Caenorhabditis elegans: one gene and its partner. The protein of the gene in region 1 interacts with the protein of each later gene in a biochemical or structural test. Each region holds a gene or a part of one and is shown in the gene's direction. Other genes may lie near its edges.

Evidence for each region.
Region 2: of the proteins of lin-23 (region 1) and cdc-25.1, one has a biochemical effect on the other in vitro, tested with the Caenorhabditis elegans proteins (one study listed by BioGRID).

The regions. Positions count from the first base shown.
Region 1 is NC_003280.10:6,369,469-6,375,221, forward strand, and holds lin-23 (F-box domain-containing protein), read left to right. Parts: upstream 1-1,834; 5' UTR 1,835-1,844; coding exon 1,845-1,970; intron 1,971-2,088; coding exon 2,089-2,227; intron 2,228-2,280; coding exon 2,281-2,455; intron 2,456-2,508; coding exon 2,509-2,803; intron 2,804-2,850; coding exon 2,851-3,219; intron 3,220-3,354; coding exon 3,355-3,795; intron 3,796-3,944; coding exon 3,945-4,295; intron 4,296-4,336; coding exon 4,337-4,444; 3' UTR 4,445-5,082; downstream 5,083-5,753. UniProt on the Caenorhabditis elegans protein: Functions cell autonomously to negatively regulate cell cycle progression. Required to restrain cell proliferation in response to developmental cues. Probably recognizes and binds to some proteins and promotes their ubiquitination and degradation.
Region 2 is NC_003279.8:6,468,622-6,473,550, reverse strand, and holds cdc-25.1 (M-phase inducer phosphatase cdc-25.1), read left to right. Parts: upstream 1-1,628; 5' UTR 1,629-1,648; coding exon 1,649-1,787; intron 1,788-1,835; coding exon 1,836-1,998; intron 1,999-2,041; coding exon 2,042-2,546; intron 2,547-2,596; coding exon 2,597-2,898; intron 2,899-2,944; coding exon 2,945-3,257; intron 3,258-3,299; coding exon 3,300-3,437; intron 3,438-3,484; coding exon 3,485-3,739; 3' UTR 3,740-4,165; downstream 4,166-4,929. Other genes in the region: uad-2 (Chromo domain-containing protein), read right to left, coding at 274-330; K06A5.2 (DUF389 domain membrane protein), read right to left, coding at 4,195-4,514, 4,557-4,719, 4,762-4,929.

The DNA.
Region 1 (5,753 bases):
ATAAATACCACGAACCTAGCCATCATTCGTGTTTTTATTTAACCAATAGAAGCACCCATCGAAGAAATAAAGGGTATAATGATTTTTCAATGAACCTGTTCAACATCCTAATGTCTTTTGTCTTGCAACAGAAGTTGACAGAAATTATGTGGTATTACGTTTAAGTGTAATTCTCAAATTTCAATGTATGGTATCAGCTAATTTAAAAGTTTGGATATTTCAAATTTAGTACAAAACTTAGAAAGTTTCAGATTCTATACTAAAAACAATTTTTTCAGAATTGTGAATTCCTTGAAAGTGTAATATACATGTAATAGAATAAATTATGTTTATGGGATACGTTTTGCAAATTTTTATTATAAGTGGTTTCGAATTTATCCGATTTCTGAAGCACAATAGGTCTTGCCACGAACAAAAAACTTTGAAGCAGATGTTGCACAAAAAGGTGTGCGCCTTTAAAGTTTACAGTACTCTCACTGTCCTCTTTCTGATGTATTTACTTGCGTCTGAAATCCTGAAATAAAAACCGCTAGACCAACGAAAACAAGATTTTTCAAACGAACACAAAACAGACGGAAAAGAAGGTAGGTTGAAAAAGAACGAGAGATATGTCAATCTAAATGTGTAATAATATCTCGAATTTCGGGTCTGAAAATCAAAAGTCGAGCTGAAAATGTGATCAGCAGACAGAGGGAGGTAGTATTAGAGTGCACGGGGTGCAGAAAAAGTACGAGAAATACCCTTTCCCACACTGTTTTCTCTTGCTTTCTCCGCTTTTCGCTAGTTTTAAAGGTGAACAGAATCCAGTTGGATTGGGCTAGACATCACATAAAATGCGGAGATTTAGAGAAGGCAAGCGCGCCCTAAAGCAAAGAGGGCGTGCACGAGACGGCGGGTCGATTCAAGCTCTAACTGTCTGCGTCTCCACTATTGAAAGGTGCTTCACCGCTGTCTCTAATCCGATTTTCTTTCTCTTTTCTACCTTCTTTTCTGTCTTTTCTTTTTTGTTTCCTTCTCGTAACACTCAAATCTTCCTTTCGTATAGTCGTTCGTTTTCATCGTTTTCCGTTAGTTGTGTATTTTCAGGAAAACCTGAGATATTTTCAATTTCCGAACGTTTGTTCTCGTTTAATGCCCAACCGCATCATAAAAACGTTAAATATGTTTCTCCCAAATGGAGAAAAGAGCAAATTTATGATTGAAAAACTAAAAAAAAGTCATGACTAAATAGTTATTATGCTCATCGAAAAATTTGCCAGTTTAAATGCTATTTTATCGATTTTCTGAAATGCCCTGAAATCTTTGATTAAAATCACTATTTTGATTCTCTATCGAGACATATAAAAGATTCTTGATTTATTTTTTAAAATAAGTTGAAATTATAAACACAAATTTGACGATAAACACCAAAATGTGCGTTACCTTTTCATTTGCAATACATATTATTTAATAAGTTTTTTAAATGTCAATCTTCAAATATTGTGTTGTTAAATTCAAACTCCCAGATGTTTTATTTGCTATTTTCAGCTGAAATTCAGATATTCCTATAACAATTTATTTTTCTATTTGGATTAACCAGTTCACTGATTCTGTAAAAGATTACGAAATCAAGAGAATTCTCGAAACAAAAAATTCATTGCAACGTTGATACAATTTCATCTTCGGAACATTTTCCCTTTAATTTCCTTTAAATTTCGATGATACTGATTAACTCACCTGATTATATGAGATCTTTCCGACTTTAAATTGATTTTTACACAAAAACATTGTTCTCTAAATATCGACATATTTTTATCTTCTAATCAATCAACACTCAATAATATCCATTTAATTCAGGACATTAAATGTCTTCACCGCACCGAGCTTCAACAACTCAGCAGCTGGCGGACTTATCGTTGACGGAAGGTGAACACGATGAGGGCAAACCGCTTTCTATTGACTACCTTCAAGGGCACGAAGGCCTGATCGAGGTAAGGAAAACGAGATTTCCCGTCATTCTAGCGCCATCATAATGTCGTTTTGATTTTTTTTTTTTTTTTTTTTTTGATTTTTCCCAAATCTTTCTTCAACTATCATCACCTTTTTCAGGAAGTATTAAAATGGAGTGAACACGAACAGCTCGATTTTATGGACAAAATTGTTCATCGATTATCACATTATCAGTTGGGAAAAGTCGACAACTTTATCAGGCCCATGCTCCAGAGAGATTTCATTAGTAATTTACCAGGTAAAATTTTTGTCTGTTCAGTATTAAACTAATCTAATTCTATTTTATTTCAGCACATCTTGTCGAATTAATTCTGTTTAATGTAAACTCGGATTCATTAAAATCTTGCGAAGAAGTGAGCACAAGCTGGCGATGTGCACTCGCCCGTGGTCAACATTGGAAGAAATTGATTGAAAAGAATGTTCGAAGTGATTCCCTGTGGTGGGGACTTTCTGAAAAAAGACAATGGTTAGTTGATGATTTAGTTTATCAGAAAATAGGAATAAAATACTTGATTTCAGGGACAAATTCCTGAATATCAGTCGAGACATGTCAGTGCGACGAATCTGTGAAAAATTCAACTACGATGTGAATATTAAACGGGATAAGCTTGATCAGCTCATTTTAATGCATGTCTTCTACAGTAAATTATATCCAAAAATCATTCGAGATATTCATAACATTGACAACAACTGGAAACGTGGAAACTACAAAATGACTCGAATAAATTGTCAATCAGAAAATAGCAAAGGAGTATATTGCCTTCAATATGACGATGACAAAATTGTATCTGGTTTGAGGGACAACACTATTAAAGTCAGAATGATATTATTTTGATTTCAAAATAACTCTGATATTTTTAGATTTGGGATAGAAAAGACTACAGCTGCAGTCGAATTCTTTCTGGACATACTGGTTCCGTTTTATGCCTTCAATATGACAATCGTGTAATAATTTCTGGATCTTCTGATGCCACAGTACGTGTCTGGGATGTCGAAACTGGAGAGTGCATTAAAACGTTAATTCATCATTGTGAAGCTGTTCTTCATCTTCGATTTGCTAATGGAATAATGGTAACATGCTCAAAAGATAGATCGATTGCTGTCTGGGATATGGTTTCGCCACGCGATATCACAATTCGAAGAGTTCTTGTTGGTCATAGAGCAGCTGTAAATGTCGTTGATTTTGATGATAGATATATAGTCAGTGCAAGTGGAGACCGAACTATTAAGGTGAGAATTTGAAATTAAAAAACTGCTTTTCCAGTTATTAAGAAGCTTTTTTTTTAATTTAAAGGTGTACTTATCGTTTGAGTCTCGTTTACTATTCTTGCGGTTCTGAAAATATTAATTTTTTTCAATATTCAGGTCTGGTCAATGGATACACTCGAGTTTGTTCGAACATTGGCTGGCCATCGACGAGGAATTGCATGTCTTCAATATCGTGGACGGCTCGTTGTTTCTGGATCCAGTGATAACACGATTCGACTATGGGATATTCATTCTGGTGTATGCCTACGTGTTCTTGAAGGCCATGAAGAGCTCGTGCGATGCATTCGATTTGACGAAAAACGAATTGTCTCCGGAGCATACGACGGAAAGATTAAAGTATGGGATCTTCAAGCTGCTCTAGATCCTCGTGCATTATCTTCGGAAATATGCCTCTGCTCATTAGTTCAACATACTGGCAGAGTGTTCCGCCTGCAGTTTGATGATTTCCAAATTGTTTCCTCTTCACATGATGACACTATTCTCATTTGGGACTTTTTGGACGCTCCACCCAGTGGGCTTCCGTCTTCAACAAACAGAGTAAGTACAACATCTGGATCAAATCTGTTAATTGAGAAATGGCAGTACATTTGATAGTCTTCAAAATTCGCAAATACACTTTGAAGAAAAAAAAGTGCTTGCAAATTTGTAGTCAGTTTCTTTTCCGTGATTCATATTTATTTTTCTAGGCCACCCTCCCAGAACTTCCAAACCAAGCTGCTGTCGCTCGAGCTCAAATGCTTTTTGAAATGGCTGCTCGACGAGAAATTGAGCGACGAGATAGAGAAGTTGTGGAAGAACCTGCACTGAGGCCACGTGCCAATGCTGCTCGTCGACACAATGCCGATATTGCAGCAGCTGCAGCAGCGGCGGAAGCTGCTAGAGGTGCCGGGGACAATGATGAATCGTCATCAGAGGAAGATCTGGACAGAGTTGATCAGGTTAATAATCCGAACGTGGCTGGACCAGCGCCACCGCAACCACACAATCAGAATCATAGAAGGAGGCAACCAAGACCAGAATTGCCTGTCAGACTTATGGTAAAATTGAAAATTGAATGATGAGACTAAAGATTGACAAGTTTCAGCAAGAAATGGCTGCTTTTGACAATATGCGCCGACAACAAAATAATATGGATCACCTGGGCGGAGGCGACGTAGACGAAGAGATGCCAGATGGTGGCCCATAAAATCTACACTCCTTCCCATTTTTTTTTGAATTTTTACTGATCTTCAACCGGTGCAGAAATCAACCAAACCCTCTGTAATCTTCCTTGTCATTTTCCAAAAAAGAAAGTTGAAATTCCTTTGTACAGTATCCTTTTGCATCCCCTTCCCAACTTTTCCTCTCACTATTAACTGATCTGATTTCATGTGATAATAGTGTGTGTGTGTGTCTCTGCATTCTATTCATCTTTTCTCAATCGACATATTGGAATATCGCACGCACAACCCCTTTCTTTCTTGTTTTTGTAACCGCATTCGAGTCCTGGTTTTTCTGAAACTATTTTTTTAATACTTCAATTTTCAAAGTCGCATGCTTTGCGGGTGCCCATTCATCCACTCTCACCATTTTATTTTGTTTTTCATCCCTCTTCCCATTTCTCAACGGTTTTTCTTCTACGGCGACGATTCTAAATGCTTCTATCCCCCGCTTTCCTCACCCGCACATTTTCAATCGCTTCACACAAATCTGTTTCAAATAATCGTTTTCGTTCCTAATTTTTCTCCCCTTCCATTGCCTCCAATTCCAAATTTCTTTTATTCGCTCGGAAAATTGTGTTCTGTATAGTTCGAAATGATATAAACAAATTTGGGTTTTGCTACTCCACAATCTGCCATTCCATCTTTTTTTCTAAATTAGAGTTTCTCATTATCATTCTTCTGTCACTTCCTGTCTTTCCTACGTCATTGTCACTGACAACTTTGCAGAACCGATTTGAGCATTTCTGCAACTTTCTTCTATTACATCTCTACGTCCCCATTCTTATCACACTATTTATTTAGTCATGTGACAAGAGTGATAATGAGAAAATAATTAACCTTCCACTGAATCCCAGTTTTGTAGTAGAAAAAAGTCAAAAGTTATAATCGATAAGCATGCAAAATCAAGTCATGCGACAGTTAAATGACAACATATCGATTAGATATTTCACAAGAAAGTTTACGGAATTTTCCATATTTCAATTGCAATTCGATCAAAAATGTGACAGCTCAAGTGTTTGGCAGATCAAGTGTTTGGCAGATGGGTGGTGTCACATTTTAATGCCAAAACTAATATTTCTCCTCTGCAAAAGCAAAAAAGCGGTAAGTTTGAACCCGAAGTGTGGCAAAAAAAGTTCAATTTGGCACACACCTTTGAGTTCTTATCAATTTCCGGAGAGGTTAGAATGGGATTATTGTAAAGTTCACGAATTGTCGGAGATTGGAATGTTTCACAACTATTTTCATAGTGGACACACTATGTAGGATGACTATAGATTTTTGATTTAATACGAA
Region 2 (4,929 bases), on another chromosome or scaffold:
CATCTAAGCAGCATATGTATCATGTTTGGGAAAGTTTAGGTTTTGTATTTCCGTAATCCATCATATTACATTGACCACTTTCACCGCTACTTACCGACTCAATACACAATTTTTCACTTGGAAATTGTTTTAGCATCTGCAAAAAATATTTATTTATTAGTTTTAATAAGAAAAACGGGAAAAAATGGTGCAAAACAAAAGAAAACACGCGGAAAACAAAGCAACATAAATGGCCGCTGAAATTTGTCGGGGACTCGACCATGGCCTAGAAACCTTTTTGCCTCGTCCCTCGTGAGGAAAAAGTTGCAGTGTCTCGCTGGAGCTTGGCATTCTGAAAAACCAAAACAATAGTGTTATGAAAGCTGTAATTCAAGAGTGGTTACACGTTCAAAAACTGACAATTTTCATGATTATCCAAGAACGCCAAAAGGTGGTTGTGGTCAGGATAACAGCTAACAAGAGCTGGTTTGAAGACATAATATAGAAATATGGAGCGGAAAAATAGAAAGAATGTTACAATCGTAAACGATGCATTTCAAGGCAATCATTGTGATAAATAGAAAAAGTGCTACGAGCAACAAGAAAGGAACGGTATAAAGAGAAAGGTATGAGTTCTCGTACAAACACAAACTGACAAAAAACTAAAACACTTAGGGTCTCGTATATTATGAGAAATTCTATTAGAATATGCATTTAAATTTATTAATTCAATTTAAAATAACAATCTGAAGGCTTCAACAAACCAAATTAAAGTTTTAAGGCTAAAATTATGAATAAATTAAAGGATGATTCATCATTTTGAATGAATTCAACTCAAAAAAAACATATGATTTACGACAAACAACACGCGGTACCGTTATATCGGAGTGTCATTGAAAACGCGAATTAAAATTGAAAAAAATTCAAACTTTGGAAACACTTTTACGCAAAAATACGGGGTGAGGCAAATACGCTTTATGGGAGGTTACTGTAGTTGGGCGGCTTTGGCCTAATTTCACTGACGGAAGCAGCTCTCCATTCTCCCAAAATTTACAATCAACAAATTTATTTCCATAATTTTTTATTGAAAATTTGATTGAATGTCAACTAAGTTCGTCTGTAAATGATTTCTAGACACATTGCCGTCCAGCATGTCTAAAAAGTGGCTTGTTCATGGGAGCTCTGAAATCTGATACCCGGAATGATGGGAAACTGAAAAAAAAATGGTATAACAGTGCAACAGAACATGATGAATACAGAAATTGGGTTTGCTGATTTCAAGATGATGATTGCGTTTTTTTTATGAGCAGTTTCTAAATACCAAAATAAAATTTCTTAATGAATAGATCAAACGAAAACTGGGCGCTAGAGCGCCAAAATTTCAAATCACAAATTATATCCTTCTTTTGATTAAATTTCAACTAAATAAGAATCTTTTGCCCAATTTTTTTCTAAATTTTCGAAGAGTCTAAATTCTTTTTCGATTAGGAAAAATTAAGCTCTTATTCATTCCTTTGTTGTCAATCACGGTCCTTTTTCCTCTTTTGTAACATAGGCTGCGTCTCTTCGTGTGGTCAATCTCTCTCCGCGTTTCTGGCCAAATAATTTTACTTCTAAATTCAAATGTTGGTATCTCCTATAATTTTTAGTTGAGGGCTGTGCATCTCTGATGGCTACCACCGGGGAAAAAGCAATATATGAGGATCAAAATAATGTAAATATCATCGAGAATGTGGTTGATGTGGCAAACGGTATCAACGAATCACCGAAAACCTTATTTGAAGAAGATGGCAGCTCCCGCGATTCTGGTTTGTCATGTAAATGGAAGGCTTAATTAATATTTGTTTCTTATTCAGGTGTCTCAATGACTAGCTGTAGCGACAAATCAGATGCATCACCCGAGGAAGATGTGGATTTTAGCAAACTGGAATCTGGTCGTGTAGCCCTCACAGACTGTTCCAATTTCGTTTCAATTTTACAACGAAACTCGTCTGTCAGCTCATCACGCAGCTCTTCTTTGTATATTCCCATCATGCGACTTCCAAAAAAAAACAATTTTCAGCTACAACTATGATACACCAACAGGGCGTAAGATGAAGACGGTGTTTGATTTGGATTCTCTCGATCACTCAGAATATGAGAAAAGAGTTATGAGCGAGAGACCAACGGATAATCATCGGAAAAGAACTTCCAGTTCAATGTCTCCCAGCGTCACGCTCCTGGATCGCAAGAGAAGCCGGAATTTGTCTCTTGTTGCTCCACAGAGTGACAAATCTTGTCGCTATAATGGTCTCAATAACCCGAGGGATGATCCATTCGGTGATGAAGACGATGAGGTCTTTGAGCAGAGCAACGTCAGAAACTCTCAAGTTCAGAATACATCAATTTTCGCTCAACCTGCCCCACGAACAGCAACTTCGTTATGGGATTTGGCACCGCCGATGTTTTTTGAACGAAAAACTTCCGATACGTCAGGCAACGGATCTTTCCAGGAGAGACCAAAACAAATTTTGCGTGCGATGAGCGTTGGTGAGATTGATTCTGAACTTCCTCCAACGTTAGAAGTGGTATACTTTTTCGATTATTTTTTGAAGTTATCCAGAAAATTACTTTTTAGAAGTACACTCTTCCCGGTGTTGATAATCCACAGAGAGAGTCACAAGCATTCCGGAGTATCTCACCTACTACTTTACTCTTGGAATTTCAACGTCTTGGAGATGATTTCGATAAGAAATACATTATAGTCGACTGTCGTTTTCCATTTGAGTACAAGGGTGGTCATGTGAAAGGAGCTATCAATTTGTTTCGTCATGACAAGATCAAGCCAATATTTTTCCCAGAAAACGGCGAAGCCAGTTCTTTTCAAAATCGTGTTCCGATCTTCTATTGCGAATACAGTCAGAAACGGGGGCCAACAATGTCGGTGGTATTTCTTTATTTATTTTATAAAATATCTGATTTTTAGGGCTCATGCTGTACGTTCTATTGACCGCGTGTTGAATGAACTTCGTTATCCACATGTCGAATATCCGGAAATGTATTTGTTGGACTATGGCTATAAATCGTTGTGGAGTACTGCTGAATGTCGTCAGATATGTGAGCCATGTTCTTACATTCCAATGACACACAGTTCATTTTCGATGGAATTTAAATCGGCTCGTCTCGAACGGCATCATTCAATGGCTTCGTTGAAACCTAATGGAGAAACCAGTCATCGCGAGGAAAAGAAGAAAAGATGTACTCGTAGTGTAATTCGAAGAAATAATTCTTCTTTGAACGTTAGTTTAAAATCGTCTTCAATTCAACTTTACTAATTTTAGATGTTATCAAGGTCGTCTAGTGCTTTAACCTCTACTGGAAGCAAGACAAGCAGCATGGAGAATATTCTTTATGGTTTGGATGATGAGAGACGACCCAAATGGGTTTCTGCGTTCGATATTCAAAGCACGGAATCGGAGGTAAATACTGTCATTAAAAATTTCAGTATAATTTTTTCATTTTGCAGAATGATTTAGATGCAGCTCTTATCTATCAGCGCAATATAAGTTCAAATGCTTCAAATGCGTCTTCCATAGTCAACCTAGCTGAAGAGCGCATTGTTCAACTTGGGCTCCAGGTGATCACACCGGATTTCCCAGATCGCCCGTCAGAATCATCGTCAACCACACCAGCAGGAGAACATCTCCCACTCGGGGAAGGGGGTCATCAGATTCCTTGTGGAATTCTTGACTTCTCATCGATTTCTGACGACGCCGAATAATAGCACCCTCTCTCCCATTACTTTTATTTATCATTCTGTTTAAACTTTGTTAATTTTCATCCCATCTTTTTCTTAACTTATTTTCCGTTTCTCGTTTCTTTTTCTATTTTGAGTCACACTTTGCAGGTCTCCGTTTCGACTGGTTCCTCTTCTACCAACCCATTCTTTTAAATCAGTCCCTTCTTGGTCTCTAAGCAATGTGGCTTCATTGCAATACGCTTCCAAGACTGAAGGGTTTTTTTTTTAACTCACGCCTTATGCCTAGGTCATCTATCTAATAGTTGTCAAACAAACTACTCAGTCACTGAGGATCTTTAACTCTCTAAATCACTTTCGCCATTCCCAACCACGCATTTACTGTACCATGACTTTCATTCTTTTGATCATTTTTATTTTCTTTCAAAATGAAGCCCCCTAGCACACTGTACATATTTATCAAATTTCATTCATTTTTCTTATGCGTTCACATTAATCTCAGCATTTCCTTCCAATCCAAATTGCTCTTCGGAAGCAGAGATTGGCACGTCATATGCTCCAAGAACACCGTAAACCAAGCACTTTGCAGAGATGGTGAGACCAACGAGAATGGCAGAATACAAGTTCACATTTGCACGGCTCTGATCACGACTAGCCAATTGAATGGGAATCAAAGCGGCAAGAGTGTAGAATCCAGTCAGTACAAAATAAACAGGTGTCAATGCTCCTTCAACAGCTCCAAGTGTGGAGTGAATCAGAATTGAGGTGGCCACAGTGGTTGAGAGTGAAGATGCCCGAGCTAAAATTACTTTTTTTGTATTTTCTAACGCAAGCAACTTACAAGTCGGGTTCATCACTGCAATAATGAACGAGGATGCAATAGTAGAAAGGGCAACGAATGGTTCAGCCGAAATCAAGACGTGTGACAATGCGGATCCAGTGAGAACTCCCTGTACAGTTGTTGCAATAACCAAAAGCCGGAATCCATTTAGAGGGCCGTAACCCTGAATATTATATTGTTTACAAAGTTATTCCGGATAGAGTACCGTGCTCAGCTGATAGTAGATAGCCAATGGTGCAACAAGTCCACTGAAAATAGCAGCTCCAACAGGAGGAATGAGAAAGGAGATGAATGGAGCAAGAATGTATCCACCGAGCAATGAGGACAACGAGAAGACAGTCAAGATTACGGAAGAGAGAACAAATGTTTCAAT